Struthio camelus: one gene and its partner. The protein of the gene in region 2 purifies or fractionates together with the protein of the main gene of each other region. This does not show direct contact. Links are inferred from orthologs where the notes say so. Each region holds a gene or a part of one and is shown on either strand. Other genes may lie near its edges.

Region 1 (11,101 bases), on a different chromosome or scaffold from region 2:
GGGGCGGCGCGGGTGCTGAGCGATGGCTAACGGAGCGGTCCAACGCTCCGCGGCGGGTGCTGGGGAGCATCGGTCCTCGCGCGCGGCCCTGGCAGAGGGAGGCAGGACGCGGCGCGCTCGAGCGGGTCTCCCGCAGCGCGGTCGCCTCGCACCCTGCCGCGTTGCGCGTGACACGGCCCGGCGCACCCGTCCCGGTCCAGCTCAGCTGGCGTCCCAAGTGACCGCGCGCGCTCGCGGTCCCTCTGCGCGCTAGAGGCCCCGCGCGAAGCCCTGGCCGACCGCGACTGATGGGGAGGCCCTCTGCTATAACCAGCTCCCTGGGATGCCGTCCCCTGCGGAAAGCTGAACCCAAGAGCTGCTGAGGGAAACGTTACTGCAGAGCCCAAACGTGTTTAAGCAGCTGGACAAAAGCTCAACAGCAGCAAGAGGGGAAGAGCTGACCTGCAGGCGTGTTCCCGCGTGCCGTGGCTGTCCCGCGAGGGACGAGGCAAAGAAAAAAAGGGGGGGGGGGGCCCTCAGCAGCAGAGCTTGCCATCGCTGTCCTGTGCTGCCCCTCTGCGGGAACCTCTTGGGGCCCGTCCCACTGAAGAGGGGAAACTGCAAAGACAAGGGGCCTCGTTGTCACTACGTAACAGCGAGACCCCTTTGTCCCCGCTCGCCTTGCCGCGTGTGGCTGCGCTGCTCAGCGGCGGCAGCAGCGGCGGATGGCGCCAGCCGCGTCTGTGCTCGGCTCGCTACGCGGCAGGCTGGGGCACCAGCAGTTTTGCATACAGGTGACGGCGGCTGGACTTTGCCCTTTGCGGCTGTAAGGCTAACTCGCCGCCGCCGCCGAGGAGGAGGAGGGCGGCGGCAGCCGCCTCCGAGCCCGGCCGCAGCACCCAACGGCTCAGTGAAGCTCCGCTGAGCTCTGCAGGGTCAGCGGGTTGGCGCGTGGAGCGTGCTCTTGCCACCGGCCGAAGGACGCCGGTGCCTTGGCAATGGGACGCGTTATTCGTTACGGACGGGCCCGGGGGGAGCCTCAGCTGCCTCCCTTCAGCCCTTGTTCCCTGTATGGCAGAAAAAAGACGAATGCAACCTGCTCGGCTTTAGAGGTGTCTGCATTTCCCGGTGAAGCTGATCAGCACCGCGGCCCATCTCGCCCCCCCCCCAGCTGCGGGCAGGCGGCTGGCAAAAAAAGGAAACAAGAAGCTACGTTCTCTGCTCCGGCAGTTTGCCCCGAGCATCGAGGCAGGTCAGGGCACGGGGGGCTGATGGTCCCCTCGAGCTTCTCTTCCGCCCCGGATTGCAGACAAGGACGCTTCACCCCTCCGCTGGGGGCAGATGGCGCCCACCCCAGCAGGACTCAGGCTTCGGCCACAATCAGGTCTCTGGTGACTTGGAAAGCCGCAATGAGGGAGCTCAGCTGAATCTTTTCGCTTGTCCCCGCAGCCAGCCGGTACCTGGAGCAGGAGGAAAGGGCAGGTTTAAGCACTTACAGCAGCGTCCTGATGGAGTGACAGCTCTGGCTGGGACAGGACAAACTCAGAGCAGCACTGGGCAGGCGCCAGCGGGGGCACGAAGCAGCGGCCGGCGTGCAGGGGAGGCTCCCGACAGCCCCTGCCTGCCGTGAAGACCAGGCACGGCGCGTTAGCGGTAAGCCCGCGGGCTGGGAGCGCTGGCAGCCCTCCTGAGCGGCAGCGTCGGCCGAGGAGCGCCGCGGGGGGGTCGAGTGGACGCTTACTCGATGTCTGCCATTTTGGTCAGCAGCTGGATACGGACCGAAGGTGGGAAATCGACTGCGGAGAGAAGGAGACGAGCGTGAGCGAGCGCAGGCTGCAGGGATGCCTGTCCCCCGGCAGAGGGGCCGAGCGCGCGGGCTTCACACCTCGGTGCACAAACAGGTGAATCTCGGTGAGGATGTCGTGCAGGGCCAAGCCCTTCAGCGTCTTCAGCTCCGTGATTTCTGAGACGGCAGTGAGTGAAGGGGTTTCCTTGCAGCGCTTTCCCTGTGACCTGCAGGACGCGAGCCACCCCCAGGAGAGCGCGGGTGGGGAGCGAGACCCTCCCCAGCGAGCAGCACGGCACGCGCGGCCCAGCCCTGCCCCAGCCAGGGCAGGACGTAACGGGACGGGAAGCCCTGGAAAAGAGGAGGGTTTACAACAACGGGGATTACACTCAAGGATGGAGGGGAATTAGCAGGAACTCTGTTTTGAGCAAGCATCTCCACCGCCCTCGCTCGGGCTTCAAGGCAACCCTGGTCGGCTGTGGGCTGTGCAAGGCTGAGAGAAAAGGATACTCCGATAGGCAGCGGAAAAGTCCTGGTTCAGCATCCAGTCAAGGATGTTGGCAATGTCAGACTTGAGGGGGTGGCCGGTGCAGGTGTAAACGTTCTCCTCCGTCACCCTCCCGAAGGCCATGGCGGTGCTCTGGGGAAGAGGAAGGGTGAGGAGGGCTGCAGAGGGAAGGGGCTCCCTGGGGGCCAGCCCTTCCTCTGCGACTCCCTCCAGGCAGCAGGGACAACTGGCTCCTGGGTTACGCGAGGCAACTAACGCTCGTGTCTGCTGCGGACAGCGTGAGGTGCAGCCACGGGCCGTACCTGTAAGATATTCAGGGCTCTGCGCATATCGCCGCTCGAGAGGGTCACCAAAGCTTTCATCCCATCTTCCGTCACATCCACCCTGGAAGACCAGGAGAACTGGGGCTGCCGCACAGGGCGAGAGAGAGCCGAAGGACGGCCGGCTCTCCAGATACTAGCCCAAGGTGACACCCAGCACGCCACCATGGCAGCTTTGTGGCACGGCCCCGGTCTCCGTAACGCTCCCGCGGAGCCCAGGGACGAGGCCGGGAGCTCAGAGCCCAGCACCAGCGCGGGCAGTGGCTGGTGCTGTTGGCTGTGAAGCTGGTTTGTAAGTTTGCAGCCGCCTCGGTGGCTATTTCACGCAAACAGCTGGGCAGGTGAGGGCAAGAAGTGGATATTCGGCTTCAGAAAGGCCAACAGCAACACTGCAACTTTTTGCAGTGTTAAGTACTTTTTGCACCGTTACAACAAATTGCCCAGCAGCACTGGATTTCAAATGCAGCTGAAGTCTGAGGAGACAGTTAAATACAAGATCACTGCGACACTGAAGGTTTTTTTTTTTTTGTCCTAAAGCAAAAATTAATAACTAGCCATTGGGTTAATTTTGCTCAGAACATGTGTATCTGCCTAATCTCTGCCTGCCCGCCCCTCTGGCTTGTAAAGCAGAGGACAGCTGGGCCCACCCTGGCCCCTCTGTCCCTAAGGATGGTTAGCAGCCCCCCTGCTGCGGGGCCAGGCTGATCTCCTTGCACCTGCGGGGCTCCTGGCACGGCCTGGGTGAAACACGGGCAGGACCGGCCCCGGAGAGCCTTCATTAGCTGGGCAGAGCCCTGCCCTTGGGAGCCAACGCTGCTGATGGAAGAGCTGGAAGAACTTGCTTGAAATAACCCTGGAAAAAGCAACGAAGCTGCTGTTCCCTCCCAGGCAGGGGGAGCGGGAGGGAAGGGGGACCACTGCGGAGCCCCCACCCCGGCATCCCGCGCCGTCCCTGTGCCCTTCGCTCACCTCTCCTCCTCGATGACGTGCTGCAGCCGGGGCACCATGAGCTCCGGGGTGAGGGGCCCGAACCGGAAGCGCGTGCAGCGGGACTGCAGGGCAGGGATGATCTTGGAGAGGTAGTTGCAGATGAGGCAAAACCGGGTGTTCTCGGTGAACTTCTCGATCACTGCAAGGAGAAGGTAGGAGAGGTGCTGCATCTGCCGAGGTCCGTAGCCATCCACGACGGAGGCCCTAGAGCACGTGCCTTGTGGGAGGGGGCTGCCAGCCGTGTCCTTTTCCTGGCTGGAAAAGGCTCGAGGGGTGCCAACAGCGTGGGGTCACACCACTGTCCCGACCGAGCCCCCCAGGCCCCTCACCTCGCCTTAGGGCATTCTGGGCATCCTGTGTCATGGCATCTGCTTCATCCAGGATCACCAGCTTGAAGCCTTTCCTAAAAGAGAGAGAAAGGAGGTGGCTTCGGTCTCGCCTGCCTTTTAGAAGCTGCTGGGGTCGAGTCAAGCTGGATGCTGGAGAAAGGAGCTGAGAGACACCTATCCCCAGCCCGGCCCCACCGGGAACATGCTGTTTAAGGCTGAGGCTCCCTCCGCCCGTCCGAGCATCTCAGCAGCACCATCAGAGCCCTCCTGACCAGCAGCCTTATCGCCCTCATCCTCGTGGCGTGCTGGGCACTCCCAGCTCCTTCGCAGGCTGCTCGGCCACAAAGCCCACCCCAGAAGCCACCTCCTTCCTTGGCAAAACCACCTCCCCTGAGCCCAGCGCCCGGCCGGGCTGCGGACAGAGGGGGAAAAGGAAGGGAAATACAGCCCTGCCACTTACTTAAAGATGGTCCTGGTGCTGGCGAAGCTCAGGATGGGCCCTCGGACTATATCGATCCCTCTGTCATCCGAGGCATTCAGCTAGAGAGGGACAGAAGGTGGGAAGAGCAGTGGCGGCCGTGGCTCTCCTCCCTCCCTGCGGCAGCTGCCGTTCCCGCCTGAGCTGGGGCGCCCATCAATGCTCTCCCTCCCAGCCCAGGCTGGGAGCGCCTTGGCCCAGCACGGGAGAGGAAGATCCCCTTGGAAAATCCCATTCCGGGCATTTGGCGGGAGCAATTTCCATGCCAGTCTCGGTGCCCGGCGCGAGAAACAGCAGGTGACCGCCCAACCGCAGGCACAGCCCTGCCCGCCCCAGCCCTCGCCCCGCAGCCCGTTCCTCGGACCGGGCGGCAGGCGACGAAGCCGGAGGGTCCGTCCGACTTGCCTCTAAAACCATGGAGTTGAATTCGCGCTCCTTGTAGAGCTGCCTGGCGCAGGCGAGGATGGCGGAGGTCTTGCCGGTCCCGGGAGGCCCGTACAGGAGCAGGTGCGGCAGGCGGTCCTCGCTGACGAACCTCTGGACTGGGGAGGGGGCAGGAGGGCGGCGGGGGGGAGCGGGCGCCGGGCTGAGGAGCGGGCACAGCACGCCTGGACGCCAGCCGCGGCCCCGCTCGCCGGCTCCCTGCGGAGGCGCAGGATGAGGCCCGGGGCCCGCTACTTACTGGTGCTCAGGATGTCTCGGTGGGACACCAGCTCGGCCAGCGCCTGCGGGCGGTACTTCTCCACCCTAAACACAGAGCCGGGGGTGAGGGGCGGCCCCCGACCCGACCCGACCCGAGGTGAGGGGCGCCGCGGGGCCGCCCCGGCCCGGTCCGAGCCGATCCTACCAGGGCAGGTTCCTGGCGCGGCCGCCGCCGCCCGCCCGCTCCATGCTGCCGTCGGGGGAGGCGCCTCGGCGGCCTCGCGAGAGCGCGCGGGGCGGCGGGGCCGGGCCGCCGGCGGGGGCGGGAGCCGCAGCGCTGCGCCGCCCCGTCCAGCCCGCCCGGCCGCCGAGCCCGCCCCGCCCCGCCGCTCCGCCGCCGCCGCCGAGCCCGCCCCGTCCAGCCCGCCCCGTCCAGCCCGCCCGGCCGCCGAGCCCGCCCCGCCCCGCCGCTCCGCCGCCGCCGCCGAGCCCGCCCCGTCCAGCCCGCCCCGTCCAGCCCGCCCCGCCGCCGCCGCCGAGCCCGCCCCGTCCAGCCCGCCCCATCCAGCCCGCCCGGCCGCCGAGCCCGCCCCGCCCCGCCGCTCCACCGCCGCCGCCGCCGAGCCCACCCCGTCCAGCCCGCCCCGCCACCGCCGCCGAGCCCGCCCCGTCCAGCCCGCCCCGTCCAGCCCGCCCCGCTGCTCTGCCGCCGCCGAGCCCCGGCCGGGCACCAGCGATGCTCAAAGCAAAGCGGCGCCCGCGCTTTTGGCGAGAGCGAAGCCTTTCGGGGAAAGCCCGGCGCTGGCCGATGCCAAGGCGAAGCGGCGCCCGGGCCGTCGGGGAGAGCAGGGTGCTGGTGGCCGCCAAAGCCGAGGCGTGCCCGTGCTCTTGGGAGCACTTTTGGGCGCGCACTGAGGGGCTTCGCCCGACGCCTGCGGGGCTGCGGGCCGAGGGGAGAGCTAGCGAGCGGCGCGGTTGCCCGAGAGCTGCAGGGCGGGAGCCTGGGGCAGCGCTTCGGAGACGGCGCCCGACGCGTTGCACGGCGCGAGCGGCGGGCTCAAGAGGCGGCTGCGAGACGAGAGCGTGCGTGGCCGTACCCGCTGCTTTCTGGTGCGCGGCAGCAGCCTGAAGATTCGGAGGTCTCGTTTTCTGGTTGATTTTCAACTTGAAAAACCAGGCCCATCTTCTGCTTCTCGTGCTGCCAAACTCCTCGGCTGAGTAACGGGGCTGTTTCTGCGTGGGGTTGCGTGGCTCCCAGCTATTCCTGGAGGAATAGCTGCGTTTTCTCACCGGAGTCGTCTCCAAACGAGGAGGGGGTCCTTGCTGTTTTAGAAGTGCCTTTGGCAAACATCTAGGACCTCCTTAGAGAAGTCGCTTCACGGGAAAAATAGTCGAAGCTAATGGGTGGCAGGATGCTCAGGCGTTGGTTCAGGTTAGAGGAGATGGCTGGAGAATCAGACAGGACTGCAGTGAAAGACTCTGGCTCGCATAGCACCAGCGCCGAGGGATAACGGAGAGCGATCCGCCGCCGAAGCAGGGATGTAGAGATGTGAAGTAAATCGAAAGGCCAAAAATACTATGGAGATCCTCTTGCCAGCAAGGGAAGAAAAAACATGAAGCGCTCCCGAACCCCCAAACCCACCAGAGGGAAACCGGGAGAGCTGGGAGCTGGAGCGGAGCGGCTGCCGGGGCTGGATCAGCTCTCGGAGGGCTTTGGGAGAGCTGAGCAGGAACTGCCAAATGTCACGCTGGGCCAACAGCATGAAAACACGTAACATCATCCTTCAGCCACAAAAATAGCAGGAAAACCTTGAGCGGAATACTTGCGGCTGTTCCTCACTGAGAACGAGCTTGAGGCGGAAGATGAACACCATGCGAGCCCGGGATGAATGGCTGCTCTGCCACAGTCCTCCCTGAGGGATGTAGCCCCGGGCACCTGCACGGGGCGAGGAATCGGGCCGCGCAAAGGGAAACAGCCCCGGGCGAGGCGGAAGAGCGGAGCGGGGAGGCGGCGGAGCCCTTCTGCCAGACCGGGGCAGAACCGGCGCCTGGGCATGCGAGCGGGTACCAGCGCTGGACCGACGCGTCCGGTGTCTGCGGAGCGGTGCCTCGCACCTGGAGAAAGCAGAATTTGCTCCGGTCCTTAACAAAACGCAAATGAAACCGCAGGCCCATAGATCCTTTTAGATGCGAATATTTAGAATCAATGGTTAAAGAAAAACAACAGGCGCAGAAGGAAGCGGGGAATAGGATCCATGGGGGCTTCCGGGGACGGATCGTGACGATAACCCAGCATCTTCCTCTGCTGACTGGTTTTCTAAAGAAGAGATCTGCAGTAGGTGCTCACCATGTAGACCGCAGCCTAGCTGCCACCTGTGAACGTTAGCCACGCTGGCACAGAGAGGATGAAGAGGGATGAAGAGGAAGCAGTGAGATCCTGGCTGCTCCTGGGAGAGGGACGGGGGAAGATGATGCCCGGCTTTGAGAGGGGTTAGAAGACGTGGTCCCCTGCGCGAGCCCGGGGGCACGTGGCCCCTACATCCCTGAGTGTTCCTCTCAGGTTGGCTGTTGACAGCTATTAAGAAATCCAGTTTTCCAATCCACTCGAAACACCTGAATGCTAAATAATCCAGAGAAAAACGGCTTGGCGCTGCGGCTCGTTTGGGCTGGGGGCACTAGGTGCCCACGCGCAGCGTGGCCGAGCTGGGACGGAGCGAAGGCAAGATAACACACACCGTGTGAGCTGCTTTTTTTTTTTTTATTTATTTTTTGCAGCCACATAAGGAAAAGCAACAGCTCGAAGCTGAGCTCAGCAAGCCTCATCTGTTCCTCTGGGCACGTGACGGCCGGGCCAGATGGCCCTTCGGACAGCAGGGCGAAGAGCCGCGGGGACCTTTCGCCACGCACCTAGGCACCGGCTCGCAGGGGGACCTGGCGCACGTGACGCTTTTGAACTTTGCATGTATTTAGCAATTCTGGAGCCGCTCTTCTCCCCTCCTCGCTTCTGGCTTTGCCTGGGGCGGCTTCTTCTTCTTCAAAACCAAATTTTCCAGGAGTTCCTCCCCTCCGCTCCCGCCGTTATTAATAAATCTTGAATGCCAGAGCGGATGTACGTGCGCGCTCAGATCCGTGGCCGGATTTCTCATGGGCGCTTTCAGCTATTTGTTGACCGCTGTCTAGGCTGGCGTGAAGATTTTTTTTTTGCTGCTTAATGTTGTTAAAATTGATGTCCCCCCCCCCCCCCAACTACTGTGCGTTGTTGTGACGGGCTGAATTGTCAACCGGTGTCTAACGGTGGCTTTCTTGCCTAGCGTGCCTCTTGCGAGGGGGCCAGCAGTTCACATCGTACTTTGCAAACAGCGACACGAGTTTCCGGCCCCGCCGGACGCTTGTCCGCGGCCCCCCGGTGTCAGGCGCGTCCCTGGGCAAGAGGACGGGGGAATCCCGGGGAACCGGTGGCGGTACATCCCGCGGGAAACCGCGGGGAGGCTCTTTGGCGGCGGGGAATCAGCCGGGGCCGGCGGAGCGGAGCAGCAGCCTCCTCGCTCGTCCGGCCCTCGAAACAAACGGAAGGGCCCCCAGGTTTCGAGGGTGGGCGGCGGATGGCACGGGCGCCCGGGACGGGGGCCGCAGGGAGAGCGGCGCCGGCGGCGCGCGCTCTATGGGAGCCCGTCGCGCCGTGGACGACGTCTGCCGAAGAAACGAAGCAGCTGACGTTGCTGAGTAACGCCGCGCGCGTCCAGCCCCGTTACGAAAGCCAGACGCTGATAACGAAGGAAATGAATAATTCAAGCCGCCCGAGACTGCCCGTACAATAGTGAAACGAGGGTGTTTTCTCGTGGCGCTCGCGGCCTGTTCTCGCAGGCGGCGAGCGGCGGGCGCAGCGGCGACGGGCGAGCCGAGCCGCGCCGCACCGCGCCGGCGATGCTATCCGGCCGGCCGGCCATCTGTCCGTCCATCCTCGGTCAGCCAGCGAAGCGATGTCGCAGGGGGCTTGGGGGGACCGTGGCCGCTTTGCAGGCTGCTCTTGACGAGCGGGGGGGGGCTGCAGGCGATGGGGGCTGTCCCGAATCCTTGTGCGCCCGCCCCGGCGAGGCCTCGGCGCGGAGCGGCCCGCTGAGCTTGCTCGGCGGTTGGAGAGCGGCAGGGTCGGCGCGCGCCCTAAGCCTCGGCACGTCTTGCCCCGCGGCTGCTTCTCGGGGTCGTTTTTCAGCGCCCAGCACCCGTTTTGCTTGCGTTGTTTTTTTTTTTTGGGGGGGGGGGTTATCTCGGCTGTCTTTGCGCCGCGGACAGGCCGGGGGGATCGCCTCCTCGCTAGCGGCCAGATGCTGGGCTGGGGCTCCCGGCGCGCTGCCTCGTGCCTCCTCGCGGCCGTGGGCAGCGCGGGACCGTCCCGTCCTTGCCTCCCGCGTAAGCCGCCCGGGAGCGACGACCGTAGAAATGACTGTGCTGGTGGCTTAGATGTTTTAGGCAAAAAATAATCTGTTGTTGCAAACGCGCTGAGTACAAAGAGTGCCTTGCCCTGTTATCTCCGTTTTGGTTATTGAAAGACTTGATTAACCACAGAAGCCAGCAGGAGAGAAAATTTCCAGTGTGTCTTTTTTTTTTTTTCTCTCTCTCCTATTTCCCTGTGCTCCAGCTAATGACAGAAATTGCATTGCATTTCAAACGCAGGCGATATTTAAATATCTGCCTGTTACGGCCTTCAAAAAGTGCCTGCCGCAGCAGTCGACAGGACGCCGTTCTCTGCCGGCCTTTCCGGAGGGCCGTTCCTCGTTATCCCGGGGCTAAAGAGCAGCCGAGCGGGAGGTCGGCTTCCCCCCGCGGTGAGTCGGTTTGGGGCTATCGCAGGCCCGGGGACTGGGCTAGTTTGCACCCAAAAAGAAACCCGGCCCGGTCCTTTGCCCTGGGGGATGCAGTGCTGCCCCGTGAGCTGCGAGGGGGCGATCCCAGCCATCCACCCCTGCTAAAACACAGCTACAACGCACACAGGTATGGGATACACATACACATATACATATATACACACACGCACACACGCACGCACCTGCGCCCATGCAGATACGTGTGAAATTACGACCGACATCGAGAGCGCAGCCCGGCTGCAACGGGATGCTCAACCTCACGACAGCAAAGCAGGATTTCTTTCCCGAGACGAGCTCTGTGGCCGAGGGAGGTTTCTGCCCAGCGGTTTCCAAGCGGCTCGCTAGTCAGTCCCAGTCCGATCCAAACGCTTTGGCAACGAGGTAAACGCTCTAGACGAGCGTCTCCGGGCGATCGCGGGCGCGAACGGAAATGTCCTTCTTCCTGGGGCGCCGCGCGGCCCCGGGCGCTCTGCTCGGGGGCCGGGCAGGGGCGCAGCGGGCAACGTGGCCAGCGATTTCAAGCATATTCCCGTGACTTTTGCACTGCCGTTTGCCCGGCCGGGAAGGCAGCTGTGATCTGCTCTAGGCGCTCAAGGAAAGGTCTGCACCTCTCCCCAAGAAATCGCTCTGGTTGGAGCAGGTGCGCGTTTATTCTTCGCTTAAAACCCGCGAAAGGACGTGACGCCTCCGCTAACAGGAATAATAGCGCTGCGGGCTGGAGAGATGCAGCAGCATCTCCTTGCGAAGGACTGGTGGCAGCTTATGCTGCTGTATTCCTAAGCAATCCGAGCCAGATCTGGAGCTGTACCCAGCGAAATCGTGCTCACCCGCGACGGGCAGGACGACTCGGGGCGCTCTGTCCCTGCGTGAGCCAGGTCTGCCTCCATCCAGACCGGGCTCACGGCCAGGCCGGGCTGAATCCCGCACGTAACCATCCACCCCGCGTCGGCAAAGGGCCGAAGAGCTCGGTTTGGCCGCGCGGGAGGCTCCTTTCACTTGATTTCCATGGACGTGGCCTGGAGCTTAGCCCGTCCCGCTTAGGTGCATTTGGGTGCAATTGCGTTGCTTTAAGTGCATTGCGCTTTCTGCAGGGGCTTGTCTTTCTCTTCCGGCTGTGCCGTGCTGTCTTCGGGTGCGCGGCTCGCAAGGAGCCGGGAGGGACAAAGTGCTCCCGGAGGTCGAGTGCCCGAGTGGGGATTTACGC
Region 2 (11,213 bases):
ACGGGCCACCAGCCTGGAGACGGGACACAGGGGAGGGCCAAGGACAGGGCTAGGACCTTGGAGACCGGACACAGGGGAGGCCAAGGATCGGGCCACAACCTTGGAGACGGGGCAGGGACACAGGGGAGGGCCAAGGACCGGGCCACGACCTTGGAGAAGGGACACAGGGGAGGGCCAAGGATAGGGCCACGACCTTGGAGATGGGGCAGGGACACAGGGGAGGGCCAAGGATCGGGCCACCAGCCTGGAGACGGGGCAGGGACACAGGGGAGGGCCAAGGACCGGGCCACCAGCCTGGAGATGGGACAGGGACACAGGGGAGGGCCAAGGATAGGGCCACCAGCCTGGAGATGGGACACAGGGGAGTGCCAAGGACTGGGCCACAACCTTGCAGACGGGACACAGGGGAGGCCAAGTACTAGGCCACGACCTTGGAGACGGGGCAGGGACACAGGGGAGGGCCAAGGACCGGCCCACGACCTTGGAGATGGGGCAGGGACACAGGGGAGGGCCAAGGACAGGGCCATGACGTTGGAGACAGGGCAGGGACACAGGGGAGGGCCAAGGACCAGGCCACCAGCCTGGAGATGGGACACAGGGGAGGGCCAAGGACCGGGCCACCACCTTGGAGATAGGGCAGGGACACAGGGGAGGGCCAACGACCGGGCTACCAGCCTGGAGATGGGACACAGGGGAGGGCCAAGGACCGGGCCACAACCTTGGAGACGGGGCAGGGACACAGGGAAGGGCCAAGGACCGGGCCACGACTTTGGAGACGGGACACAGGGGAGGGCCAAGGACAGGGCTACGACCTTGGAGACCGGACACAGGGGAGGCCAAGGATCAGGCCACCACCTTGGAGACGGGGCAGGGACACAGGGGAGGGCCAAGGACCAGGCCACCAGCCTGGAGACGGGGCAGGGACACAGGGGAGGGCCAAGGACCGGGCCACCAGCCTGGAGATGGGACACAGGGGAGGGCCAAGGACCGGGCCACCAGCCTGGAGACGGAGCAGAGACACAGGGGAGGGCCAAGGACCGGGCCACCAGCCTGGAGATGGGACACAGGGGAGGGCCAAGGACCGGGCCACCAGCCTGGAGATCGGGCAGGGACACAGGGGAGGGCCAAGGACCGGGCCACGATCTTGGAGATGGGGCAGGGACACAGGGGAGGGCCAAGGACTAGGCCACCAGCCTGGAGACGGGGCAGGGACACAGGGGAGCGCCAAGGACCAGGCCACCAGCCTGGAGATGGGGCAGGGACACAGGGGAGGGCCAAGGACGGGGCCACCAGCCTGGAGACGGGACACAGGGGAGGGCCAAGGACAGGGCTATGACCTTTGAGACCGGACACAGGGGAGGCCAAGGATCGGGCCACCAGCCTGGAGATGGGACAGGGACACAGTGGAGCGCCAAGGACCAGGCCACCAGCCTGGAGATGGGACATAGGGGAGGGCCAAGGAACGGGCCACCTGCCTGGAGATGGGACACAGGGGAGGGCCAAGGAACGGGCCACCAGCCTGGAGACGGGACAAAGGGGAGGGCCAAGGACAGGGCTATGACCTTTGAGACCGGACACAGGGGAGGCCAAGGATCGGGCCACCAGCCTGGAGATCGGGCAGGGTCACAGGGGAGGGCCAAGGACCGGGCCACCACCCTGGAGATCGGGCATGGACACAGGTGAGGGCCAAGGACCGGGCCACGACCTTGGAGACAGGGCAGGGACACAGGGGAGGGCCAAGGACCGGGCCACTACCTTGGAGACGGGGCAGCGACACAGGGGAGGGCCAAGGACCGGGCCACCAGCCTGGAGATGTGACACAGGGGAGGGCCAAGGACTGGGCCACCAGCCTGGAGACGGGGCAGGGACACAGGGGAGCACCAAGGACCGGGCCACCAGCCTGCAGATGGGACACAGGGGAGGGCCAAGGACCGGGCCACCAGCCTGGAGATGGGACAGGGACACAGGGGAGGGCCAAGGATAGGGCCACCAGCCTGGAGATGGGACACAGGGGAGTGCCAAGGACTGGGCCACAACCTTGCAGACGGGACACAGGGGAGGCCAAGTACTAGGCCACGACCTTGGAGACGGGGCAGGGACACAGGGGAGGGCCAAGGACCGGCCCACGACCTTTGAGATGGGGCAGGGACACAGGGGAGGGCCAAGGACAGGGCCATGACGTTGGAGACAGGGCAGGGACACAGGGGAGGGCCAAGGACCAGGCCACCAGCCTGGAGATGGGACACAGGGGAGGGCCAAGGACCGGGCCACCACCTTGGAGATAGGGCAGGGACACAGGGGAGGGCCAACGACCGGGCTACCAGCCTGGAGATGGGACACAGGGAAGGGCCAAGGACCGGGCCACAACCTTGGAGACGGGGCAGGGACACAGGGAAGGGCCAAGGACCGGGCCACGACTTTGGAGACGGGACACAGGGGAGGGCCAAGGACAGGGCTACGACCTTGGAGACCGGACACAGGGGAGGCCAAGGATCAGGCCACCACCTTGGAGACGGGGCAGGGACACAGGGGAGGACCAAGGACTGGGCCACCAGCCTGGAGATGGGACACAGGGGAGGGCCAAGGACCGGGCCACGACCTTGGAGACGGGGCAGGGACACAGGGGACGGAAAAGGAACGGGCCACCAGCCTGGAGACGGGACACAGGGGAGGGCCAAGGACTGGGCCACCAGCCTGGAGATCGGGCAGGGACACAGGGGAGGGCCAAGGACTGGGCCACCAGCCTGAAGATGAGACACAGGGGAGGGCCAAGGACCGGGCCACCAGCCTGGATACGGGACAGGGACACAGGGGAGGGCCAAGGACAGGGCCACCAGCCTGGAGATCGGGCAGGGACACAGGGGAGGGCCAAGGACCGGGCCACCAGCCTGGAGATGGGGCAGGGACACAGGGGAGGGCCAAGGACCGGGCCACCAGCCTGGAGATGGGACACAGGGGAGGGCCAAGGACCGGGCCACCAGCCTGGAGATAGGACAGGGACACAGGGGAGGGCCAAGGACTGGGCCACCAGCCTGGAGATGGGACACAGGGGAGGGCCAAGGACCGGGCCACGACCTTGGAGACGGGGCAGGGACACAGGGAAGGGCCAAGGACCGGGCCACCAGCCTGGAGATGGGACACAGGGGAGGGCCAAGGACAGGGCTACGACCTTGGAGACCGAACACAGGGGAGGCCAAGGATCAGGCCACCACCTTGGAGACGGGGCAGGGACACAGGGGAGGGCCAAGGACTAGGCCACCAGCCTGGAGATGGGACACAGGGGAGGGCCAAGGACCGGGCCACGACCTTGGAGACGGGGCAGGGACACAGGGGAGGGCCACGAACGGGCCACCAGCCTGGAGATGGGACACAGGGGAGGGCCAAGGACTGGGCCACCAGCCTGGAGACGGGGCAGGGACACAGGGGAGGGCCAAGGACTGGGCCACCAGCCTGAAGATGGGACACAGGGGAGGGCCAAGGACCGGGCCACGACTTTGGAGACGGGGCAGGGACACAGGGGACGGCCAAGGACTGGGCCACCAGCCTGGAGACGGGGCAGGGACACAGGGGAGGGCCAAGGACCGGGCCACAACCTTGGAGACGGGGCAGGGACACAGGGGAGGGCCAAGGAATGGGCCACGACCTTGGAGATGGGACAGGGACACAGGGGAGGGCCAAGGACCAGGCCACCAGCCTGGAGATGGGACACAGGGGAGGGCCAAGGACCGGGCCACAACCTTGGAGATGGGGCAGGGACACAGGGGACGGACAAGGATCAGGCCACCACCCTGGAGATTGGGCAGGGACACAGGGGAGGGCCAAGGACTAGGCCACCAGCCTGGAGACGGGACAGGGACACAGGGGAGGGCCAAGGACCTGGCCACCAGTCTGGAGACGGGGCAGGGACACAGGGGAGGGCCAACGACCGGGCCACCAGCCTGGAGATGGGACACAGGGGAGGGCCAAGGACCGGGCCACCAGCCTGGAGACGGGGCAGGGACACAGGGGAGGGCCAAGGACCGGACCACGACCTTGGAGACGGGGCAGGGACACAGGGGAGGGCCAAGGACTGGGCCACCAGCCTGGAGATGGGACACAGGGGAGGGCCAAGGACCGGGCCACGACCTTGGAGATAGGGCAGGGAAACAGGGGAGGGCCAAGGACCGGGCCACCAGCCTGGAGACGGGACACAGCGGAGGGCCAAGGACAGGGCCACCAGCCTGGAGACGGGGCAGGGACACAGGGGAGGGCCAAGGACTGGGCCACCAGCCTGGAGATGGGACACAGGGGAGGGCCAAGGACCGGGCCACAACCTTGGAGACGGGGCAGGGACACAGGGAAGGGCCAAGGACCGGGCCACGACTTTGGAGACGGGACACAGGGGAGGGCCAAGGACAGGGCCACGACCTTGGAGACCGGACACAGGGGAGGCCAAGGACCGGGCCACCAGCCTGGAGATAGGACAGGGACACAGGGGAGGGCCAAGGACTGGGCCACCAGCCTGGAGACGGGACACAGGGGAGGGCCAAGGACCGGGCCACGACCTTGGAGACGGGGCAGGGACACAGGGAAGGGCCAAGGACCGGGCCACCAGCCTGGAGATGGGACACAGGGGAGGGCCAAGGACAGGGCTACGACCTTGGAGACCGGACACAGGGGAGGCCAAGGATCAGGCCACCACCTTGGAGACGGGGCAGGGACACAGGGGAGGGCCAAGGACTAGGCCACCAGCCTGGAGATGGGACACAGGGGAGGGCCAAGAAACGGGCCACGACCTTGGAGACGGGGCAGGGACACAGGGGAGGGCCAAGGAACGGGCCACCAGCCTGGAGATGGGACACAGGGGAGGGCCAAGGACTGGGCCACCAGCCTGGAGACGGGGCAGGGACACAGGGGAGGGCCAAGGACCAGGCCACCAGCCTGGAGATGGGACACAGGGGAGGGCCAAGGACCGGGCCACGACTTTGGAGACAGGGCAGGGACACAGGGGAGGGCCAAGGACTGGGCCACCAGCCTGGAGACGGGGCAGGGACACAGGGGAGCACCAAGGACCGGGCCACAACCTTGGAGACGGGGCAGGGACACAGGGGAGGGCCAAGGAATGGGCCACGACCTTGGAGATGGGACAGGGACACAGGGGAGGGCCAAGGACCAGGCCACCAGCCTGGAGATGGGACACAGGGGAGGGCCAAGGACCGGGCCACGACCTTGGAGATGGGGCAGGGACACAGGGGACGGACAAGGATCAGGCCACCACCCTGGAGATTGGGCAGGGACACAGGGGAGGGCCAAGGACTGGGCCATGACCTTGGAGATGGGGCAGGGACGCAGGGGAGGGCCAAGGACCGGGCCACCAGCCTGGAGATGGGACATAGGGGAGGGCCAAGGACCGGGCCACGACCTTGGAGACAGGGCAGGGACACAGGGGAGGGCCAAGGACCGGGCCACCAGCCTGCAGATGGGACACAGGGGAGGGCCAAGGACCGGGCCACCAGCCTGGAGACGGGGCAGGGACACAGGGGAGGGCCAAGGACCGGGCCACCAGCCTGGAGATGGGGCAGGGACACAGGGGAGGGCCAAGGTCCAGGCCACCAGCCTGGAGATGGGACACAGGGGAAGGCCAAGGACCGGGCCACGACCTTGGAGACGGGGCAGGGACATAGGGGAGGGCCAGAGGCCAGGGCATATGCCTAAGAGATTGGGCAGGGACAGAGTAGTCCAGGCCCGCGGCCTCGGGATGGGGTAAGAACACAACAGAGGGCCAGGAACCAGATCACGGCAAGTTGTAGGGAGGGCAGGCAGGGCCCAGAGCCAGTGGCCCAGGGCAGGGCTGGAGCCAGCGAGCCCCTACCAACCCAAGCACCCGCCACATACCCTACCGCGCTCACTGCCTTAAGACTCTCTGAGGGGGAACGCTCGTCCCCCGTCCCGCCTCCCGCAGTCGACGTCCTATTGGCTAACGGCTATGTCGCTCAAACTCTCTCTCCAGTCTTCGGCGTCGTCTGTGCTCTCCCGCCCAATGGCCAGGCGGCAGGAGGCGGGCTCACCTGCACGCGCAGCGCCGAACCCGCGCGGCGCTAGGAGCGGGGGAGGGGGGAAGGCTCCGCCCCTGCGTCAGGTGACGCGACGCTTGGCGCGAGGACGGAGGGCAGCCGGAGCCTCTCAGCCGCTCACGTGGCCGCGCCAGCCAATAGGCCTCCCGTGGGGGCGTTGCGAAGGCGGGCGCCCGCCCAATGGGAAGAGAACGAGTGAGGGCGGCGCGCGGAGCGCAGAAGCCTGCGCAGCGGTGAGGCGAAGCGGGAGCAACCACTCGGGGCCGCGGGGGGGGGGGTGTGTGGAATGCGTGGATTAAACCATTCCCAGGGGCCGTTGGGGAGCGGGGGTGGGCGCCATCTTGTCGGTGCTCCCGGGGCGGAGGGGGTGCGACCGTGCGGGTGTTGGGCGCGGAGGATGGGGGTGGGGGGAAGCTCACAACCATCGAGGGGCGGGGCAGTGCTGGGGGCGGGGCCAAGCAGGGTGTGGCCGGGGCGGGGCTAAGGCACGGGCCTCAGCAGGACCGAGGCCTGGCGCTGGCCCCGTCGTGGTCCCCAGTGCTGAGCCTGGCCCGGTGGCGGCGGCAGCCCGGCGCCATGAGGTGCGTCGTCGGGGGAGGCAACGTGAAAGGTGAGCGGGGCGGCACCGGGGCCGGGGCGGGCCGGGGGCGCTGCCCCACCTCACCCCCTCTCTGCCGCCTCACCAGTCCTCGGCAAAGCCGTGCACTCGCTGTCCCGCATCGGGGACGAGCTCTACTTGGAGCCCGCCGACAACGGGGTAAGGGGCGCTGAGGGGGCCCGTGGCTCCCGACTCCGGGGAGGCGCGGGTCTCTGCCCGGGCGTCCAGGCCTTTGGGGCAGCGGGAGAGGCCCCGCACGGTGACGGCCGCGCTGTCCCCCCAGCTGTCCCTGCGGGCTGTGAACTCCTCGCGCTCGGCCTTCGCCTCCTTCCTCTTCGCCCCCCTCTTCTTCCAGCTCTATGAGAAGGGCAGCCCCCAGCCCGCTGGGGAGCTCTTCCGCTGCAAAGTCCTCATGAAGGTACCCGGCGCCTGGCCGCCCTGCCTCTGGGAGCCTGCGCCCCGGCGTCCCCTTCGGGTCCCAGTCCTTCTGCAGCCACGTGGGGCGGCAGGACAGGGTGACGGGTCCACACATCTGTCCTGTGTCTGCAGTCCTTCCTGGGCATCTTCCGGTCGCTGCCCTCGCTGGAGAAGACGGTGGGGAAATGCCTCATCTTGCTCAAGCCCCAGGCTAGCCGCCTGGTCGTGCAGCTCCACTGCAAGTACGGTGAGCGCTGGAGGGCAGTGTGTGGGCACCGGCGCCACCCAGGCTGCCGGGGCCACCCCTGCCCCGCTGAGCCCGTGCCTCCTGCACCAGGTGTCACCAAGACCCATAACCTGGCCTTCCAGGAGTGCGAGCGGCTTCAGGCCGTCTTCAGCACGCAGCAGTGCGCCAACAGCCTCTGTGCCCCAGCCCGGTGAGCAGGGCGGCTGTGGGGTGACAAGGGGCAGAGCGGGGCCGGAGCAGTGCGGCAGCGCCTGGGAGGGGGATGAGAGCGGAGAACTGGGAGCTGCAGGAAGCAGCGGTGGCACAGGGCTGGCACTGGGGCAATGCGAAGTGGGGATCAGGGGTGGCACTATGGGCAGAGCGAGGGGTTTGCAGATGGTATTAGGATGGGCACTGGCAGGATTGGGGGGACACTGGGATGGGTGGGGGGGCATGGCATGGGGATCGGGGGGGGGACACTGGAATGGGGATCAGGGTGGCACTGGGATGGGTGGGGACATGGCATGGGGATTGGGGTGGCACTGGGATGGGTGGGGGACACTGGGGATAGAAGGGGGATTGCTGGTGGGCAGGGCTGGCCCTGCAGGCCCCGGGGTGGGCACAGGGCCCCCAGCTCTGCGCATGCACCCCTGCCAGCCCCACGCACCACGGCCCCCCAGGGTCCTGGCCGAGGCCGTGGTCCACTTCCCCGCGACACTGGCTGAGGTGACGCTGGGCGCCGGCCCTGGGGGCAAGATCAGCCTCCGAAACTACGTGGAGGATGAGAAGGGTGAGCCATGACGCCTGGCGGGCAGCGTCTGCCCGCTCCCCTGGGCCGGGGCCCCAGCATGACCCCCTGATCCCCCCCCCCGCCCCCCCAGAGTTGGGCAGGACGATGGTGACGGAGCTGTGGCTGGCTGAGGACGAGTTCCAGACGGTGGCCGTGGCCCCGGGTACCTGCATCACCTTCTGCCTCAAGGAGTTTCGGGTGAGCCCCTACTGCGGCCCCCTCCCCTTTATGCCAGGGTGCTCCAGTTTACTCCTCTGCCTACCTCAGCCTCATCTTTGCCCCACAGGGGCTCCTGACCTTCGCTGAGGCCTCGAACCTGCCTCTCACCATCCACTATGACGCACCCGGCAGGTAGGACCAGGCCCCTGGCCGCCCCCTGCGCTCCCGTGCCGAGCCTCAGGCCCTCTGTGTCCCCAGGCCAGCAGTGTTCACCGTGGATGACCCCCTGCTGGAAGTGCACCTGGTCTTGGCCACCCTCTCGGATCCGGACAGCAGCTCGCAATCCCCCACGGCCAACGGGTAAGCAGGACAGTGCCCAGTGCTCCCAGCCTCGGCGGGGGTGACAGTCCCAGCTCAGCCCTCCAGCTGCCATCAGTAGGGGCCAGAATCAACAAGCTTCCCTCTGCTCCCCTTACTTGCTCTCTCCCCAACACAGTGCCTCTGACTTGCCTGCCCCTCCGGACGACTTCGCAGACGATCTTGAACCCTACATGATTGCCATGGAAACCAGCACCTATGAGGGAGGCTCCGGCGTGCCCCCCAGCCCCACCTTCCCCCTGCGTACCCCTGGCCCAGCAGACAGTGAGCCTGAAGAGGAGGAGGAAGAAGCTGTGCCAGGGACACCCCCTCACAAGAAGGTCTGGGATGGGCACGGGTGTACCTGGGGGACATGGGGACGGGCACAGCGCCCTCCCTGAGCCCTGTCTCTCCCCTCTTAGTTTCGCTCACTGTTTTTTGGCTCCGTGCTGACACCGGGAGGGCCATGCGTGGCCCCAACCCAGGAGGTGCTGGCAGAGGACAGCGATGGCGAGTACTGACAGCCCTGACGCCGCCAAGCTCCCTGGCCCCCGCGGGCCCCCCGCACTGTCCACAGCACCCCCGGCCTGCGAGCATGGCCGCACTCGGAGCTGGGCTGGCCCCAGGGCCCTTGCACGGCAGTGGCTGGCGCTGCCTGGGCGCCCCCTCTCTGGGGCTGGACGCCTGGGTTCCTCGTGGAACGGCTGCAACCGCGAACCAGGCACGTGGCTCCCCCCCGCGGCGTCACCCCCCAGCACCCAGGCGCCACAATGGGCACAGCTGGGCACTGCTGCCCCCCCAGTCCCAGCATCAGCCCCCAGACACAGGCACCCCCCCACGACCCATTACAAGTTTATTCCCAAAAAACCCCCTGCCCCCCCTCCACTGCCATCCTGGGGACAGGTTCCCCCAGTTGCCCCTCGCGTTCCCGGCCCCGGAGGGGTGTTTTTGGTACTGTGGAGTGTGGCGGGGGGGGAGGGGGATATTACAAATAAAAAAACGAATTGAAAGAAAAGCAACCTGATGCTGGGGAGGGCTGGGGCCCGCGGGCACCAGGCCGGGCCCCGTGCCCTCAGCGGGTGGGCAGCGGGCTGGTGGCTCACGGCTCACTTCTTGGCTTTGGCGGAGTTGCGGGGAGGGGTGACGGGGCGTCCCGCGGGGTTGAGCCCGCTGAACTGCCCGTATTTGCCCTTGTTCTTGTCGGCCGGCTTCAGGATCTGGGGTGAAGGGGGTGAGTGGAGGGCTTGCACGTGCGTGTCCCATCCTGTCCCCCAACCCTGCGGGCACGGGAGCCCCCCAGGTCCCCTCCTGCCTTGCGGGCACTGTGGAACCCCCAACACCTCTCCTTGCCCCCCAGTTCCACGTGTACCGGGGACTCCCTCTACTTCCCCTCTTGCCCCCCAACCCTGCATGCACCAGGACCGCCCTTCCCCTCCCTACCCCAGCCCTGCAGAAACCGGGGACCCTCCCGCCCTTCCCTCCTGCCCCCAACCCCATGGGCGTTGAGGGCCCCAGCCCACCTGGAAGGAGCACATGAGGGTCTCATCCACGCTCATCATGGCACCCGCGTTGTCGAACTCCCCACAGTAGTTGGGCGCCGAGAAGAGCGTCACAAGCTGGCGCTTGGCGAAAAACTCGTAGCCATCCTCCACCACCTGGCACAGGCATCAGAGCTGGCACTCAGCCAGACACCCCTTGAGGCAAATAACCACCTCGTGGGGCAAATACCCGCCGGGATCCTGCCCACGTACTGTCCAGGCAACCTCCCCACGGCAAATACCACTCCATGGGAGCAAACACCCACATAAAGCCCAAACACCCGCTGGGGCAAGCGTTCCCCTCTGAGGGCAAACACCTCCTTGGGAGCCCTGCCTGTAGAGACTAGGCATACCCTAGAGCAAATGCTGCCCTTGGGGGGCAAACGCCAGGTGCACAAACACCTGCCTCAGAGACCCAAATACCCGCCCAGGGCACAACCCCCTGCCCAGAGGACCCAGATGCCACTGGTACCTGGTGTGCCCTGCAGATGAGGTCCAGGTCGTGCTTGTGCAAGAATTTCGCCACCACCTCTGCCCCGAAGGTGAAGGAGACGCCGCGGTCGTTCTCACCCCAGCCCTGCACATCCTTGTCAGGGTCAGACCAGAGCAGGTCGCAGAGCAGGCCCTGGTCCGGCACGTCCGTGGGACGCATGATCCGCCGGATCTGCTCCATGGACTGCAGGTCGGGGGACAGCCCTGTGGGGGGTGCGGCAGCATCAGGCCCTGCCTCCTGGACAACAGGCCCCCCCAACAAGGGCACCCTCACGGCCTCTGACCCCTGACACTGCCCATGGGGTTGTGTCCCTGTGCCCCAAAGTCCCCCAGCAGGGCTGTGCCCAGTGCAGTGCCTGTTGCCCCCTCCAGCCCCTGGTGGCCCTTTCCCCCAAGCCCAGGTCCGTGTCTCCCAGCCCCTGGCAGGGCCTGGGTTTGTCCCCCATGCCCACCTCCATGGCAACAGAAGATCTTCTCGTCCACGATGGCAGCAATGGGCAAGCAGTTGAAACAGTCGGTGAAGGTCTTCCAGAGCTTGATGTTGTACCGCCGCTTGCCTGCAAGGCAGGTGGGCATGGCTGCC

The links.
Region 1: the proteins of RAD9A (region 2) and RFC5 purify together in Homo sapiens (affinity purification with mass spectrometry; 3 studies listed by BioGRID and IntAct, with this or other methods). This does not show direct contact. The link is inferred for Struthio camelus from reciprocal best matches to the Homo sapiens genes RAD9A and RFC5.

The regions. Positions count from the first base shown.
Region 1 is NC_090958.1:5,303,392-5,314,492, forward strand, and holds RFC5 (replication factor C subunit 5), read right to left. Parts: upstream 5,344-11,101; 5' UTR 5,282-5,343; coding exon 5,238-5,281; intron 5,138-5,237; coding exon 5,073-5,137; intron 4,933-5,072; coding exon 4,796-4,932; intron 4,453-4,795; coding exon 4,373-4,452; intron 3,987-4,372; coding exon 3,913-3,986; intron 3,723-3,912; coding exon 3,563-3,722; intron 2,658-3,562; coding exon 2,576-2,657; intron 2,406-2,575; coding exon 2,276-2,405; intron 1,943-2,275; coding exon 1,865-1,942; intron 1,776-1,864; coding exon 1,721-1,775; intron 1,440-1,720; coding exon 1,343-1,439; 3' UTR 1,080-1,342; downstream 1-1,079. UniProt on the Homo sapiens protein: Subunit of the replication factor C (RFC) complex which acts during elongation of primed DNA templates by DNA polymerases delta and epsilon, and is necessary for ATP-dependent loading of proliferating cell nuclear antigen (PCNA) onto primed DNA.
Region 2 is NC_090946.1:3,696,651-3,707,863, forward strand, and holds RAD9A (cell cycle checkpoint control protein RAD9A), read left to right. Parts: upstream 1-5,957; 5' UTR 5,958-5,965; coding exon 5,966-6,286; intron 6,287-6,361; exon of another isoform or gene 6,362-6,554; coding exon 6,555-6,663; intron 6,664-6,739; coding exon 6,740-6,810; intron 6,811-6,934; coding exon 6,935-7,069; intron 7,070-7,200; coding exon 7,201-7,315; intron 7,316-7,405; coding exon 7,406-7,505; intron 7,506-7,951; exon of another isoform or gene 7,952-7,974; coding exon 7,975-8,084; intron 8,085-8,175; coding exon 8,176-8,282; intron 8,283-8,370; coding exon 8,371-8,435; exon of another isoform or gene 8,436-8,501; coding exon 8,502-8,603; intron 8,604-8,739; coding exon 8,740-8,941; intron 8,942-9,022; coding exon 9,023-9,121; 3' UTR 9,122-9,615; downstream 9,616-11,213. Other genes in the region: PPP1CA (serine/threonine-protein phosphatase PP1-alpha catalytic subunit), read right to left, coding at 9,707-9,817, 10,121-10,255, 10,611-10,834, 11,083-11,187. UniProt on the Homo sapiens protein: Component of the 9-1-1 cell-cycle checkpoint response complex that plays a major role in DNA repair. The 9-1-1 complex is recruited to DNA lesion upon damage by the RAD17-replication factor C (RFC) clamp loader complex.